Tribolium castaneum: one gene and its partners. The main gene of each other region encodes a partner of the protein of the gene in region 5 in a complex. Links are inferred from orthologs where the notes say so. Each region holds a gene or a part of one and is shown on either strand. Other genes may lie near its edges. The genes, in order: Tif-IA, Polr1F, Polr2K, Polr1B and Polr1H.

The links.
Region 1: Polr1H (region 5) and Tif-IA share a complex: the UniProt entries of both Homo sapiens proteins name them as parts of the pol I pre-initiation complex. The link is inferred for Tribolium castaneum from reciprocal best matches to the Homo sapiens genes POLR1H and RRN3.
Region 2: Polr1H (region 5) and Polr1F share a complex: the UniProt entries of both Homo sapiens proteins name them as parts of the RNA polymerase I (Pol I) complex. The link is inferred for Tribolium castaneum from reciprocal best matches to the Homo sapiens genes POLR1H and POLR1F.
Region 3: Polr1H (region 5) and Polr2K share a complex: the UniProt entries of both Homo sapiens proteins name them as parts of the pol I pre-initiation complex. The link is inferred for Tribolium castaneum from reciprocal best matches to the Homo sapiens genes POLR1H and POLR2K.
Region 4: Polr1H (region 5) and Polr1B share a complex: the UniProt entries of both Homo sapiens proteins name them as parts of the pol I pre-initiation complex. The link is inferred for Tribolium castaneum from reciprocal best matches to the Homo sapiens genes POLR1H and POLR1B.

Annotation. Positions count from the first base shown.
Region 1 is NC_087395.1:22,076,487-22,080,506, reverse strand, and holds Tif-IA (RNA polymerase I-specific transcription initiation factor RRN3), read right to left. Parts: upstream 2,817-4,020; 5' UTR 2,658-2,816; intron 2,610-2,657; 5' UTR 2,604-2,609; coding exon 2,150-2,603; intron 2,098-2,149; coding exon 1,992-2,097; intron 1,880-1,991; coding exon 1,268-1,879; intron 1,220-1,267; coding exon 1,041-1,219; intron 997-1,040; coding exon 738-996; intron 689-737; coding exon 514-688; 3' UTR 446-513; downstream 1-445. Other genes in the region: ATP-binding cassette sub-family F member 3, read left to right, coding at 1-83, 175-327. UniProt on the Homo sapiens protein: Required for efficient transcription initiation by RNA polymerase I (Pol I). Required for the formation of the competent pre-initiation complex (PIC).
Region 2 is NC_087394.1:6,583,594-6,587,147, reverse strand, and holds Polr1F (DNA-directed RNA polymerase I subunit RPA43), read right to left. Parts: upstream 2,316-3,554; 5' UTR 2,067-2,315; intron 2,016-2,066; 5' UTR 1,963-2,015; coding exon 1,775-1,962; intron 1,723-1,774; coding exon 1,393-1,722; intron 890-1,392; coding exon 717-889; intron 665-716; coding exon 543-664; 3' UTR 503-542; downstream 1-502. Other genes in the region: nitric oxide synthase-interacting protein homolog, read left to right, coding at 1-176, 230-338, 392-463. UniProt on the Homo sapiens protein: Component of RNA polymerase I (Pol I), a DNA-dependent RNA polymerase which synthesizes ribosomal RNA precursors using the four ribonucleoside triphosphates as substrates.
Region 3 is NC_087394.1:4,871,074-4,873,419, forward strand, and holds Polr2K (DNA-directed RNA polymerases I, II, and III subunit RPABC4), read right to left. Parts: upstream 973-2,346; 5' UTR 845-972; coding exon 781-844; intron 728-780; coding exon 635-727; intron 567-634; coding exon 544-566; 3' UTR 501-543; downstream 1-500. Other genes in the region: Pfk (ATP-dependent 6-phosphofructokinase), read right to left, coding at 1,253-1,382, 1,436-1,658, 1,722-1,946, 2,278-2,346. UniProt on the Homo sapiens protein: DNA-dependent RNA polymerase catalyzes the transcription of DNA into RNA using the four ribonucleoside triphosphates as substrates.
Region 4 is NC_087399.1:7,572,241-7,576,265, forward strand, and holds the start of Polr1B (DNA-directed RNA polymerase I subunit RPA2), read right to left. Parts: upstream 2,817-4,025; 5' UTR 2,699-2,816; coding exon 2,627-2,698; intron 2,551-2,626; coding exon 2,221-2,550; intron 2,169-2,220; coding exon 1,929-2,168; intron 1,878-1,928; coding exon 1,705-1,877; intron 1-1,704. UniProt on the Homo sapiens protein: Catalytic core component of RNA polymerase I (Pol I), a DNA-dependent RNA polymerase which synthesizes ribosomal RNA precursors using the four ribonucleoside triphosphates as substrates.
Region 5 is NC_087397.1:21,420,247-21,422,800, reverse strand, and holds Polr1H (DNA-directed RNA polymerase I subunit RPA12), read right to left. Parts: upstream 1,058-2,554; 5' UTR 969-1,057; coding exon 842-968; intron 785-841; coding exon 534-784; 3' UTR 503-533; downstream 1-502. Other genes in the region: PolD1 (DNA polymerase delta catalytic subunit), read left to right, coding at 1,152-1,204, 1,254-1,518. UniProt on the Homo sapiens protein: Core component of RNA polymerase I (Pol I), a DNA-dependent RNA polymerase which synthesizes ribosomal RNA precursors using the four ribonucleoside triphosphates as substrates. Can mediate Pol I proofreading of the nascent RNA transcript.

The DNA of each region.
Region 1 (4,020 bases), on a different chromosome or scaffold from region 5:
ATTTCCTCGTACTTGACGAACCCACCAATCATTTAGATATCGAAACAATTGAAGCTTTAGGGAATGCGATAGTCAAATTCACCGTAAGTTAACGCTTTTACCACTTTTGGGTGATCACATTACCACCATACACTTTTTTATTTTTTTACCTCCCTTGTGCTTAATTTTTTCTAGGGCGGTGTGATACTTGTGTCGCACGACGAGCGGCTTATTCGCAAAGTGTGCAAGGAGTTGTGGGTTTGTGGTAATGGCTCTGTGCGAAGTATAGAAGGTTTTGATGAGTACAGACGACTTGTCGAACAGGAACTCGAAAGTCAGTCTAAATAACGAGTTTACTTTTTAATAGAGAAATTTGTATAAATGTGCCTCCTTTGTGGAAAAACTATTTATGATTTTTTGTTATATTTATAATATATTCATGTTTATAACGGTATTAAAATATAGGTCATATTTTGAGAAACTTTATTTTCCTATCAAATTAATAAATAACATCTTGCATAAATCAGTATCACATTAGCCCTTAAATTTAAACCCTGGCGAAGTCCCGTATGAGAATTTCTGCGTTTTTGAGTTAAAGTCATTCTCGAGGAAATCGTCAACGTCCCCAATTTCCCTCATTTCTGAATCGTTTACCTCAAAACTCACCTCCTTGTAGTCCCGATAAAACGGGTGCACTTTCGCACTCGACCTGCAATTAAAACAGTCAGGGGAATCCCCCAAAAAACGGTGCAACGAACCTTGATAAAACAAAAGGATCAAACGGGTAACACGCCTCTAGGACGTTACTTGAAACTGTCACAAAACCTTTCTCGTCTCTATAAACAGTCGGTAAAGTGTTCCTCGAATTGTGTTCAATGATTGAGTAACAATAGGCTAGTTGGTACTTTCGGGTAATAGCAGCGAAATTTTGCACGACTGCAGGTTGGCAAACCCGCAACGGGTTTAACCGACTGGTTACGATTTTCGCCAAGTTCAGACTCTCCAAAAATACGACATCTGTAATCAAAGTTGTGACAATGTTCGAGTAAAAAAATCATTACTTTTTTTTGTGTTGACTAAATCCTTGTGCCGGAACGAAATCACATAAAAGAGGGCTTGACACACTGTGTAGAAGACAGAGTGGAGCCTTAGGTCCGAATTGACGCACTCTAGGCCGTCCTGAGTGGCGATATACGAGTGGATCCATTCGGCCATTTGTTGCAAAGTCCCCTTCAACATGCTGCAATTTTCCATTAAACTGGGGCATAAAAAATTGAAAAAATCTTACGTAAGGGGGACGAAAGTGGCTCTCGCTATAAAACTGACAATATAATTAACCGCCGCTTGTCTAATCACCGACGCGACGTTCGGATTGCACACCTTCTTCCACAAGTAATTAAAAAACGCCTCCGTTAACGTCGTTTTAAAGGAACACAGCACAAACATAACAAACTGGACGTGATGAGTATTGTAAGTTGGCAGGATCGACTGATCAAAGACCGTCAAAATATCCTGGTATAAAGACTTGGTTTTGCCCCAATTCAAGTCATTAGTGCCCGGCTCATGGCACTCGGAGTAAATGTAATTGAACACTTTATCCAGGCAAACGTCCAAAGTGTGTGCCATTGAATGGACGCAGTCCAGATTTATCGTAGTGTTTGTTTTGCTCTCGTCCATCATGAAAATTTCCTCCTCTTCAAGTTTCGCGATTTCCTCGCGGGGCGCACTCACGTCCATGATGATCAGTTTTGAGAAAATTAAGTGGAGGATGTTGGGTCTGAGAGTGGGCTGGTAGCAGATGACCCAGAGGAGGTTCTGGATGTAGTATTCGTGGATGTGGGTCGATTTGTTCATGTAAGGGAAGTGGTCGATCAGGGCGTGGATTAGCAATTCGTTGCACCTGAAATGCCCATTAGCACAGATTTAATTTATAAACTATTTTATAGAGAAAATTGCTTATTACTCTAGATAATTACATCCGGAAAGTACCTGAGACTTGAAAAATTACTTACAAAGGGACTGTTCTTAGAAGTTCACAGAGGAGGGAGTGGACGTGTTGGCACTTCAGAATATCCGTTTTACTGGGGGTTCCATTTTCCCATTCAGGGTCTGTTAGAGCTAAATAATTCACTGGTAATTAACTGGTGATTAGTTACTTTACCAAACTTACGGGGAAAAAACAATGTGACTAATTTATTTATCACAAAATCTGCGTGATAGTTATGTGCAGCGACTAAGTTCGCAATAAATGACTGATACTCCTTAACTACATTTTCGTTTCTTTCGATCCAGTCAACTGAAAGGAGTGCTTCTACAAAAAGACGTAACTCCTGCTTCATTATTGAAATACACTCAGTCGCTTCCTTCAACAGTGAGGAAATATCGTCATCAAACAGTTCGGCATCGCGAATTAGGCACACTAAATTTTCATAATCCTTTGCATTTCCGTGTTTGATGTAGTCCTTCAATATGTGGCGCACTTTTTTAGAGTGTGGTAAAATAAATCGGACTTTAGTGGGTGTGTTCACTTTCAAGGAGCGGTTTAATGTCGATTTGAGACTTGGGGTTTTCTTCAGGATCGAGGAAGGGGTCGTTGACTTCGTGGGGGCCGAGAATAAAGACATAATGATCTGAAATTTGTTTGTTTTTTCTGAAAAAATGATAAATATGGCACTTACATAAATTAAAGCAACGGTTCAGTCACAGTCAATCAATAAAAACAGTATTTCACAATGTTATTTAAATCACATCTTTTACAGGTTAGGAGAAAAACGTGTGGTTTGACGTCTGCGTCTAGGGTTATTTGTTGTGGCTTTTCGAAGTTGCTTGGTTGGCAAGGCTACTATTTAAATTTTGAGCCGGGCTAATTTATTAAAATAAATTAAAAGTAAAATCAGTACAAGATGTTAATATCACCTATTCAAAAGCATTTCACGAACCTACTGAAATAAAAAACAGTGAAATTGGAACATTGTACCAGTAAATTCGTTGAAAATATTATAGATTTTAATGTAGAAACTTTTCTAAAAATAAATTATTGAAAACTAACCCTTTAATCCGGGTTGTTTTCTCTTTTCCCCTTAAAAATCCCTTTCAATAGCACACACTAACCGCGATCAGCACGCACTAGTCAACGAATTTGGAACTTTTAATCCGCAAAAATTCTTTCACAAAACAGTAAGTCATAAAGTGAGTAAAATTAAACGACACGGCAACAAGTACGACACCAACAAAAAATATAATCTGTGAGGTAACTTATTGTTACAAGATGGGAACAAGGAGGTTTGTCTAATGTATTGATTTTTGTCATTTAACGTTTTTTTTGATCTGAAAAACACAAGGAGGCACATTTTTAAGGTCCAACCCGACAACCACAGAAGTTCATCTCTTAAGCAAATAATTTCAGCCAAACATTTTAGTGAAATCTTCACAGGATTCACAATTAAAACAAATCCACTTTGTAAGAACAAACTTACTCTCGAAAACTAAAAGAATTCGATTATTTTTAACTCAGCATACTTAAGCAGGTATTAATTTTTTTTTGAATAAGATTCTTTACATGATATAGGGGCAGAGCCGGATCGAGGGCACTTGCCTCAGATGATCTTTGGGAAAGGGAAAAAAACAACAGAAATAATCACCTCTGATTTCTCTTTTCCAGCAGTTATGGAACAATGTAAAAAACCTTGATGGTTAGTACTTTCCTGTTTAAAAAAGTGCTGTTTAAATGTTAACAGCACGCGCTGTGTGTAACCAATATTGTCAAAAAGACTCTGAAGAACGAATTTATAAAGGAAAAATAATTGAATGGTAGTTTCAAATTAATATCATAATTTATTACGTCTACATTTTATAAATGAGTAAAAAAACTCTTTAACAACAACAAGGACGCTACTTAATACTAATGAGCGAGTATTATATGTCGTCATTTGTAATTAGAGTAGGAGAGTTTCCTCCGAATAGTTGGTAGACTCAAGTCTTAACCATTCTTTCAATATCAGTTTCAGTAGGTACTCTAATTGTAATGAATTCAAATGATCA
Region 2 (3,554 bases), on a different chromosome or scaffold from region 5:
TTGTGCCCCATTTCGGGGAAACCCCTCAAAGTAAAAGACTTAATTGACGTCAAATTCACTCCAATCAAGGATTCAGGCGACAAAAAATCCTTAATTGCGAAAGAATGTCGTTACATGTGTGCTGTAACACACGATGTTTTAAGTAACTCAGTTCCCTGTGCTGTTCTCAAACCAACGTAAGTTAATAACTTATTAACAACACTAAATAAAAAAATGACCGTACTTTTAGGGGTGACGTTGTTACGCTAGAATGTGTGGAGAAAATTATAAAAAAAGATTGGATACATCCGCTCACTAGCAAAAAATTGACAGAAAAAGACATCATTGTAATGCAGAGGGTAAAACAGTAACACTTCAATTTGTAACAAAAGTAATGCGGTTTTTATTATAGGGGGGTACAGGCTATGCCCAAACTAATGTGGAACTGGAAGCCAAGCAAGAACGCCCAGCTCTTCAAGCCTGAATTATTTAAAAAAAATTGAGGCATTTACAAAGAAAAGAATTGTGTTTTATATTTTATTTCATGTATTTGTGGAACAATTTTATGAAGAATCCTCTTGTACATGTTTTTTCTTTTTCTTTTTGATTGGTGGTTCAATATCTTCGTCAACTTCCGCCTTACGTTTAGTTTTTTTCTTACTCTTCTTTAAACTTATCTCAGGTTCTGAAATTAGTTGTCAAGAAGTTGTAAGAATTTTTTTTAATAAAAAATTTACCTTCTTTTATTAATGTGTCAAAATTAAGACTCTCGTCATTGAACGACTCATCAAAAATAATTTTTTTCGCTTTCTTCTTACTACTTTTTGTCACTGTCTCATCAAGGTTTTCTTCAAAAACTATTTTATTGTTCGACTCGTTTAATACGTTTGGAGTCGCGTCCAAAACATTGCTACAATTAATTGAATTAAGTTTTGTCTACAGGGTGAGTCTGTTATAAAGTATATTTGTTACTACATCTCAAAAACTAGTCCCACAGAATTCAGCGTTTGCTAGTAAATACTTTATATTTTTTTCTGTGCTTGTGATTTTTTTCAGAATTTTTCTACAATTCCGTACAATTAAAATCAATAAATAAATTAACTAAGCACTACTAATTATCTACATTTTTTTTATTTCCTGTGTCACCTGAAAACAAGCGATGGTTAATTAAATGTTGCTGAAAAAACTGTAACTAACCCCCAAAAAAAATAATTAAGTAAAAATAAAAAATTCAATTATTCGTATAAGAAAGGGTAAACAAATTCTGAAAAAGAAACACATGTATAGAAAAAAATATAAAGTATTTAATAATTTAATAACGCTGACTTTTGGGCGACTATTACTTTTTAAAATATGGTGAGAAATACTTTTAGCAGACTCACTATGTAGTTGTATGATGAAAAATAAACTTACATAATTCTACCTTTAATGTAAGGCAATTTTCCCTCGAAATTTGTTGACGTGATTTCTAGTTGTATTCTACTGCCAGGGTTCAAATTTTCGCCCAACCACTCATGTTTCTTGGGCTTTGGCAAAGACACATTAAAAATTTTATGTACCAGACAACCAACATGATCTTTAGTCTTTTTGTGTACGACACCTTCCAGTATTTTACCTTCCACAGGCTTAAAAATGAAGAATTCGGCCTCAATATCGGCGTGAATGTAGCAAGAATCATCACAGATTTTTCCTGCTTTTGACAACAATTTTGTATTTTTGTAACCACACAGAATCCCATCTAATCTACAAATAAATTATTAAAACTATTGGCAAAACTTTCATTTTTACCCAAAACCTGGCACTAAACTTCCCTATCCTTGAATTGAGGATCTCCTTAACTGAATTATTTAAATCGTTCAAGTGGTAAGGGTGGAGGGCTATGTGTTCCTGGAGGGTAAGTAATTCCACACACGAATTCTTATCCTCAACTAACGAGTTTAATTCGTTTAAATTAAAAGTTTTTAATAATTTTTGTTTTTTCATTTTCGGGGGGCCCACGTGTGGGTATGATAACCTCACTTAATTTTTTTGGAAACCTAACAAATGTGTTATAGTGCAAAAAATGACAAAAATATTAAATGACTTACGTGAAATCACAAACCCACCATTTATTAATATTAATTAGGCCACAAATCCACGATAATATATCACCTCAAGTCACAAAAAATGTGAGGTTACGTAAAATAATTAACCGGTTTTTTACACTTTTATTAATGGTTCTTATCTACTATAGTACACTTATGTAATTATACATGGCAATTGTATTTACTCCATGACCTTTTTTTGAATGTGTTAAAAAATTCTTTTTTTGATTTTTGATTCTGGTGCGCGCTTTCGACCCAATGTGCATTTGATACTCTCTTCTTGTTTCGTGTATTTGGAACCCAGACACTTTTTTGTGTCCTAGTGTTAGTCCTTACGTTCAATTAAAAGAAAACTTGTAGGAATTTGGTGTGTTTTTATATTTTTCAAAAACTCAAAAAAAAAGACTCAAAAACCATAGGATTCTAAGCGCACAGTTTAGTGACTTTCAATTTTTCCAACTCTGTGTCAGTCGTACCAATTATTTCAGGTGTTGACATTTTACGTGTTGTCTCGTTTCAAAAGTGGTAAAGGGCTTGTACAAAGTTAAATACAGTTGATAAATGTTTTAAAACTGTGTGAAATGGATTAATAAACGTAATTATTACAAGGAAACCTCTAAACCGGTGAGTTGTAGATATTATACTGTGATATCAACTCGTTAATAAGTTGGTGGTTCAAGTGGGATATGTTGCTTATTTTTTGTTTTTTAACAGAGATTAACAAAATTATTGCAAGAAATGATGCCAGATTAGTGAGGGATTAATTTTAAAGTTTTTGTTCTAGAGACAAAAACATAAATTTGTGGAACTGGATTCAGTGTTAGTGTTATTGTTTACTGCATGTTGATAGATTTAGTTGATTTCATATTACTTTTTATCTTACTACATCTGTTGTGTTATTTTTGTATGGATTAGAACCACCCAGACTCCGGAATAGATAATAATAATGACTAGATAAGTTGATATCACACAAGTACTTATCTGTTATTTCTAGTGTTTGTGCTAGTGATTGCTAATTATTTCAAGTTTTCCTTATTTATTTTTGTGTTTTTCAAAAATATACAGCTTTTATTGCATCATCTTACAGATAAAAGAACTCGTGAGAAAAATGAGTTTTTTTGATCATATTTCATGTTTCTGGTAAAGTAGTAATAAAACCGATTAAAAAACTTTAGGGACATGTAAGAAGCTAGAAAGGCATCTTAATGTAGTAATAGTAGTATGCCATAAAAATTATTATTATGATGTCATACTTTTTTGTGACACTATGTATAAACAAAAATATTTTTTTGAAATCCTAGAGTATAAATTGTTAAATAATAACTGAGCCACCGAAGATGGAAGCTGGGCTGGACCACCTGTACAGGGTGCTACAGACTTTAAATTTTAAGAAGTTTGAAAAAAAATTGTAAACACTCTGTAGTAATTCAGATCAATCAAACTCAGTTAATAAGCCTGTTAGGCCTTATTTAAGACGTACGTGATAATAAT
Region 3 (2,346 bases), on a different chromosome or scaffold from region 5:
AATCAAAAAAACACTTCAAAAATCAAAATTACCTCAGTGCGCTGGCGGGAAACCGGCACGCAACGGTAAACCTCGCCGGCGCCCTTTCAGCACGTGGTGCAATAACACAACGCAGTTATCGCAGCCCTAGACGGCCATCATTGGCCCCCACGTCCTGCACCACCTTCACTCCTCCGACAATTGTCAGTCCAAAAATCGGCGAATTTTTTACTCTCGGCGTTTTCAACGGCGAAGCCACACGTCGCGACCGGCGCGCTCAGACACCGGCGTAGAACCTGCGTGTATTTAGTTTTATTGATCGCACATGGACGACCTTGAATTTGGTTAAAGAGGAGGTTGCGTTGCAGAAAGTGGTCCTGCACTGCCCTTGCGCGAGACCTTGAAATTTTCGCTACAACTGGGCCCTGGGAAATCGATGCATTGCCCCAGGTGGTGCCCAAGGTGCTTGAATTGTCGGACGTAGGAAAGGGGAAAGACAGGTTTGCAAATAATAACCCCAATGTAAAAAACACTCTATTCCAACCTTAATTAATTACAATTTTTTCACCGGGCGTCAAACACGGCCACTGGATCAAAGTTAAGGAAAAATTAACTGAAAATTTGCAAGTGTTAGTAATTGATAATAAAAGGATACATCGTTTGGTTCTCTTCTTGTACATAATACGGTACCCACATTCCCGGCACCTGATTGGATCCCGCGGCCTTATTTCGTTCTCATTGTGGCATTCTAAATAATTTTCGAAAATTTTCAAATCAAAACATAACCTCACTTTCACGTACCTCCGCAAATGTAAACCATGGGAGTTTTCGTGGCCCCTGAGTCTTTGGTCGAAGGTTCCGACATCCTAATCACTTAAATTAGCACAATTTTTAATACAAACGAGCGGGAACGTAGTTTTCTCCTCTAATAAATTTTGTATAAAAACAACGCCACCATGCCGACTTAGGGAATTTCATCTTTTTTTTGTTATTCCAACGGTTGGCAACGCCAACGTATACAAGCGCGAAATTCAAAAAGGTGCAGGAATTTTTGATAGTTTATTAAAATTTTATTGAAATATAATACGTCCATTCCACATACCCAGCTCGAATCGTACTTTGTAACACTTGACCCGTCTTCAAATATCGATATTGTCATCACAATATGGCCAAAATTTGTTTACAATATCTCATTTAATAAAATAAACTACACAATAAAATAAATAAAACAAGCTAAAAAATACAAATTCACTATAAATGGCTACGGTTGCCTTTAATTAATAAAACTGCGATCCTCAATCGTCATATACATCCCTTCTTCCTCATATGTCGAATCATGTTTTGCCAAAATACGCAATAGAGGGCGCAGTTTCAACCACCATTGCTCTTTAGGCATACGCAAGCTAAAACAATTTAAAGTAATTATAAAAAACAGTTTAATAATTTATAAACGTACTCAAAGTTGGTTTGTTCTTTCAACTCAGCGACTGGTGTAAACTTGTATTGTCTTTTAACGATTCCTAACAGAACGACGCTGTCTTGACTAGAACAACTGACTGAGCCGTCTGAACTCATATTGCTTTTTAATTGGTTGATCATCCATTCGACCGCTTTGGACGCCATTTTGGTACCAACATTGCGGTCAAAAGGTGTGGGGGAACCCCCTTGTTGCATATGACCTTAACAATACACACACAAAAAAAGTATTAAATTTTTAAACAAACAAACGTCTATATAAATACCTAAAACGTTCATCCTGGCACTAAACAAGCCTTTTCCTTCCTCACAATACAATCTGTAGATAAAGTCGGTATTGTAGTTATCTGACGCTTTTTCGTTACGTAAAATTAAACCACGTTGTACACCTTCGGACATTTTCGTAGCCATGTGGTAGACATCTTGTTGCAAGTCTTTAATTGTGAATTTTTCCTCGTAAATGTACGCAGCATCCGCACCCCCAGCGAGACCTAACATGTGAAAATAAGTTGGCGATGCTGAATAATGAATGTGTTGGCAACATTGACTGTCAAACTTAAACATTAATATTTACCTTTTTTATATCATTAATAGATATTTAATTACCCCATGCATCAAATATACAAGGTGTATCAGAAATAAGATAATACAAGTAATACGAACTCCTATATTTTATTTCTAAAATGGAGGATTTTGGAAGAAATAAATTACGTCAAAAACTAAGTAGTTCTGAAACAACCTGTATAGGGTCGAATATTTTACGTTTTGAGACACAAACTGTCTTCATTTCATACAATGTTGCCAACTTAATATCGATATTACCTGCAAGTGTGGCCAAATATCCGCAATACCCGCCCATGGTTTCAATAATAAAAACCCTCCTTTTCGTGC
Region 4 (4,025 bases), on a different chromosome or scaffold from region 5:
TAGGCTTGAAAGATTTTTCATTTCATCCGTTTCTGAAATGAAGGCGTTAATAGATAAAAATCTAACAGGTGACAGTGGCAATTTTTTAAGAGTATTCCGTATTACAGGAATCTCTTCTTGTTTTCCTTCTATTGAATTAGAAACTACTCCAATCTCTATTCCAATAGAAATTTTTGATAATGTAGAAATATTTTCCTGTTCATCTAGCATAAAATCCAAAAATATTTTTTCGGAGGTGCTCAGTATAATTTTTTTATTACCAGTTACATTTTTGCGTTTTGTTTTTTATTGTGATGTTTAAATTATTGTTAATTGTTTTAATCAGTATATGTTTATCAATTAATTTTACCAATCTAGCGGGTTGTTAATTATGCATATTCACAATTACTTTCAGATTTTTTTTTATTTATGAAGTCCATTAGGGGGCACTTGCCTTTTATTTAAATAATAGGATATTTTAATAATTTTTTTTCTCAGGCAAAGATTCACCTTTACATGAAAAATCATCAGACGTTCTACAATAGCATAATAGTGAATAAACTGCAGAATATTTTAGTATGTATCTTATGAAATATGCTTGAAGAAAACAATTTTTCAAATTTTTTAAGTGACACACAACCACACACAAATGATAAATAATTCCTTATTACAGACAGAAACAAGTAAAAGAAATAAGTAAAAGCATTTCGTTATTAACATAAATTTAAGGATTTGCTATTTCTATTAATACCACCCACAGTTTTTTGTTTTAGTTCTTTTTTGTATTTCAGCTTTTCAGTCTCTTAGGACCGGTTTATAGAAGCGTCATTAATTTAATTCGCACTTAATGCGTGATTAACTGATCACGTGACCAAACGGAGACAATTTGATTGATCTAATCGCGTTGTTAACTTTTAACAACGAATTAAAATTTGATGCAACTTTCTATAAACCGGCCCTTAGTGAATTGTTTTTTTTTACAATGTAATGTTTTAATTAATTAGTGCTTCCAGTTCTGCAGTCTATTTTTCAGTTTTCAGAATTTCAATCTCCCCATTTTTTATTTTTTTTGTGTTTTAGCCTTTTAGTTTGGTGTTTTAGTTTTCTGGTGGAAATACTGTAGTTGTATATTAAATTATTTTTTGAAGATTTATGCGCACTAGCAAATGCACAACATTATTTTATTCAAGACGCTTTGAAAAATAACTAACTTTATTCTCATTCTGAAATTTTAGTAAATAACAGAAAAAAAATAGAAGCAGTAGTCTCGTCCTTTGCTGAAGCTATTGAACGCGTGAATAAAGTGTTCTTTTTTTTTAAACTACCTACTCCAAAAGTTGTGGAAAAAAAGTTAGTGACAAACTAAGACAAACTGAATACAAAATTCTAGATATAAAAATTTACTAAAAATAAAAATGTTAATTGAATGAAAAAATATTATCAATTTAGTACCAGTATCCATTTCCATACAATAAGTTTATTTGTTAGGTTGAATTTTTACAGAAAAACAAAAGCAAATGGTGCAACAGAGAACTTCAAGTTTTCGTTTTGTTTGTTTTTGTAATGGACCTTATTGCAATATTGCATAAAAATTACGTTTAATTTTTCCTGCTGTACGAATTAATAAAGAATATGTTCTAATTAGCAAATTTCAATACCAATTTTCTAAATTAAGTTTTTTTGTAACTCCTAAAAATCCAGTCTCTAGTAACAATTTATGCTTACTCCAAGTAGTAGGAATCGTGCTGGTACCCTTGTATCAACTTCTGGTAAATAAACTGGTCGCAATAATCGCACAAACATTTCAAAATCAGGACTAACGGCGTGTAGTACAAAACTTTCTTGTAACTGAACATTAATTTGGCGGTTCCATCCGTAACAAAATGTAAAACATTCGTCTAAAAATGTAAAATTATACCAAGTTTTTGGTAATTTTTTTAAAAAATTACAGTGGCCGTTTGGTCCTCCCTGACACACCTCATGGAAATACCACAGTCTGAAAAAATCGAGCCCCGCGCTTTCCAGCCCGAGCGTTTTATAGCAATTGGATAGTTCCGACGTGTCATTAGCAACATCCTTACTAGTCTCTCGTGGCCTTTGACCACAAAATAGCCCCCCCATTCCTGCTCATGCTCCCCGTGTTTGACCAACTCTGCGGGGGACATGGCGCTCAAGTGGCACTTATTCGACTACAATTAACCTCGCCAATTAAAAAAACACACACAAAAAAACAAAAAATACTTTAATCATGATGGGCAACTGGCCCATATCCTTATCAAACGCCGTCTGTCTCTCCCCATTAATCGCCCAATTAACCCTGGCAATAAACCGCCCTTTGTAGGTCGCGGCCCTTTGCCTACACTCCGATGGAAATACTTTAGGGCTTTTGACCCCAACTGTGCCCATCGGCACCAAGGGGCAACTGAGACTAGCATCGGTTATTTCAAGTGTGATTTTATCCCCATTTACCATAAACTCAACCGGATTCAAATCAGAAATCGCCTGGTCTAGCCCCTGATTTATCATGTAATTGAAGCTAGACACGTGTGGGTGCCCCAATTGTTGCAAAAGCTACAAATTTGAATTTTTTCATTTGAAAAAAAAAACATAACCTCAAAAAAACACGTGTTAGTTTTAAGACACTTACCACGTTCTGTGACTCGGGGGGGCGCCCGAAATTGGGATCCGTGATATTGGAAAGGCTCGGCTCGTCCAACATTATTAAAACACTCACTTAAACTTAAAAATAAATAATAAAACGTGAAAATTGAACCCGACAATTGTCACTTCCCGGTGGCGTATGCAACCAGCAATACAACCCACCACGATTATTGCATATGGACAACCACCAATTTTAATAATTTCATTATTAAAAAAACATAATTGCCTTGTTGCCTTTAATAGGTAAAGGGGATAAAATGGTTAATTGAAATCGTATTGTCACGATTGACAATTTTATTGTCAGTCATAGAATAAGAGAGAGGAAGAAGCGAATCTCTCTGTCTACCCCTCGTTTTTTCGCGAAAGCGCCACCTAACCCTGAGAGAACGAACTAATTCGATAATAGCGGGAAATTCAAACAGGACATTTTATTTATTTTCCAAATTAAAAGAATAATAAATGTTAAATGTTTCTGTACTCATGCACTGTTACGAGACATTTTAATAAAAAAGCATCTGTAACAGTTGCAATAGCACAAAAACATTTAACATCGCTTAATAAAATGAAACAGTCTTTCCAATAAAAATTTATTAAAAAAATAATAACGTGCTGGAATGTATAGGCATACTCAGATGTAATAATATATGTAAATACAGTGTCTAAATATACACAATGATCCAGAGAAACTGAGTATGTTGGCATCAGATTAAATTATTGAATTAATACCTGAAAGTATACACTATTGGTATCCTTTAAAATTTAAATTCAGATTGCTAACAGACACAGTATTTCGGGATCAGTCTGTATACATACATCAGTTTTGTTGGTTTGATTACTTGTCTGCAGACTGTTCAGAAAAGCAAAAAAATATCAAAATTTTGCTTGTAACCTTTGACAATAGTCCAATTTTTAAGTCCCTTAAGGCTAAATTTAAACAACTATTTTTCGAAATTTATTCGCGGTTATAAGGTTTACGGACGTTTGTAAAAGCGGCCCTAACACGTACTTTAACAGTTTGATGTCAAAGTTCTTGATAAATTTTGAAATTTTTTAAAAGTAATCTCGACTGCATCATAGTTATTAGTAAATTACTCAAACACAAGGGAATTACAAGTGTGCTAAAATTATTTTAAATAAAAAGCCACATATCTGATATACATAACTATAACTGGAAGTTAACTGATTAAAACTACCATGTAATCATTTAAATTTATAATAATAGTAGGCTTTAATATTGATTAACTTGTATGATACTTGTAGAATACGTTTTTTCGCTTAGTTTCTAAATTAAGCAATCACAAAAAGGACAAACCTTGTTTTTTTAACAGGCATAGGCGTTATAACATTGTGTAAAACAACATAAAAGATTAAGACATAGAGGGACA
Region 5 (2,554 bases):
TTTAACGTAAAAATACAGGGTGATTCAAGTAAACAGAACTTTGTAACATCCAAAGCAATAATATAAAAGGTAGACTTTTTTTATTAAGTAAAAACATAACACAAACAATTAAGTCTCACTTTCACTCATGTTGTAAGTTGGTGTAGAGCCTAAAACAGTCACTAGTCATTTTTTTGTATCTTCAACTGTATTTGCAGCGTTTTGAAAAATATGAGACAATGCGGCAGATTTCAAATATTGTTTTTCACGTTTCTCGTAAAAATTTTGGGCGTCACTTTTTTTCAACCTATTACGGTACGGATGTATTTTTTCCATTAATTGGTTGAAATAAAATTAATGTAAAACGATTATTAGGCGCCAAATAACACTCGAAGCGCCCAATTTTAATTCTACCGTACTATTTTACACCCCGTCTCGCTTCCTAATCTATAGTCCTCCATAGGACTATAGATTATTTGTTCATTTTTTTTAATTATTAATGCTTTTAAATTGAATAAATTAGTTATTAACAAAAATGCGTATTTATTGACCAATTACGAATTTTCACTCTCTTTGAATTTACATTTTGTGCAAGTATAAAACACAGTTTGGCCCTCATCTGCTGATCTCAATTGAACTGTCGCATAAGTCATTTTATCATGACCACATTTGGCACATTTTCTATCAACAACAGGACCATCATCTTCTTCTTCATCCTTTTTATTGTTCTGCTTGTTCATTGAATGAGTTTTGTAGTCTCGCGAATTGAAGTGTATCACATATGAAGCTTTAGTTCCTCGAAAAACTACAAAAAAAGTATTATCAATTCTTTAGAATTATCATTGAGACAAATTTAACTTACCATCTGATGGAAAATTGCGTTCACAGGCATAACATTTCACACCTCCTGTTTGTTTTAAAGGTGGCAAAATGGAACCACAGTCGGGACAAAACCCTTCGATACTTTCAAAATTAGGGCCAGTACTCATTTTTAATTTTTTGAGTGATTTAATTCGAAAAATTAACCTAAAAAACACATGTGTCAACTGTTGGGAATTTTCCAATTTACATATTGGTCACACTTCACGCATTTCAAGACAACATAACCTATAATTATTTTAAGCGGGAAGAAACTGAAATATCTTGTTTGGAGTCCGTTTGTTTACAGCAAAATGGCAACAAAACGCAATCTTCCGCCTCCGAATTCATCAGGGAAGAGGTTCAAGTAAGATTTCTTGACAAAAAATGATTGTTTTCTATTTGGTTAATTGAAGGAACGACAAAATTTTTCGCCCCCCAGTTGGCGATTTAAACCCCACTGATGATGCACTAATTTTTCAAGAATTAGAGTTGGATCATTACATTTCAGCCCCTTATCCTGGAATGCCAGGGGCTCAAACTGGTACTGTTCCTGTGATTCGAATGTTTGGTATTACAAAAGTGGGCAATAGTGTGTGTTGTCATATTCATGGTTTTTCTCCATACTTTTACATTAATCTGCCGAATGATTTTACACAAGCGGATTTGTCCCGTTTCAAGGTAGGAATTGTTTAATATTTAAACCCAATATAAAACGCGATAAAATGTTCTAAGATTAAGTACTGATACAGTCTTGTCCTTATCAGAATTTTGACACTGACAGTTGTTTATATAAAAAAAATAACTATATACGTTTGGTAACAAGTGGTAATTGTTTGGTAATAAATTGTCAAATAAACAATGAATAAACAATTGCGTAAACATAACAACGCTAACTACTTTGATCTGAGCTTTTACCATTCAAAACTTAAAAAACACCAACGCCGCATTTTGCCGAATATTGTTTTTAAATAGTATTGATAAAATTGTAAAATTGTTATTTATGATTGGAACTATCATTGAAAGTATAAATTAGATTAGCTATTATTTTTTTGAAGTGCGTGAATAATTTATAACAGCTAATTTCAATTTAAAGTATTGAACCAAGCATTTTGCACCTAAAATATACAGGGTGTCTCACGAGGTAGTGCATATACAGAGTGACCCAAGAGTTCGTGCATGCTCCATAACTTTTTTTCTATGCAAACTATCAATTTAAAGTTTTTTTAAACGATAGGTCTTACAATATTTTTATGTTGTAATGTTGTAATAAAATACTCCACTAGGTTTTGTTTTTTTAATTGGAAACCCCAATTTTTATTATATTTTTGAAAACGTGACTAAATTGTCGATATAATGCACCCGGGTTTTATAGACTTATCTGTCATAGTTTTTGACTTATGTCAATTTATGTGTGAAAAGTGTGTCGTGCAAAGACCCTCAAAAAATGTATAACTTCAGAACCATTTAAGATAATGTAACAATTTTTTTTCTTAGCCAACTTCTTAAGCTTTAGCGCATCTTTTGCAATAAAAGCAAACTCGATGTCGATATTTTAGCGCCTACTACGATTTTCTGAATATGACAAACTACATATTGCAATAACTCGATTTTTTCAAATGCAACACCCTGTTTATTATTGCACCATTGCATGGTATTTTTAAGAGCTTTTTGTCGATATAAAGTTTGTGGGGTCTAATTTGTAAAATGTGTAAGA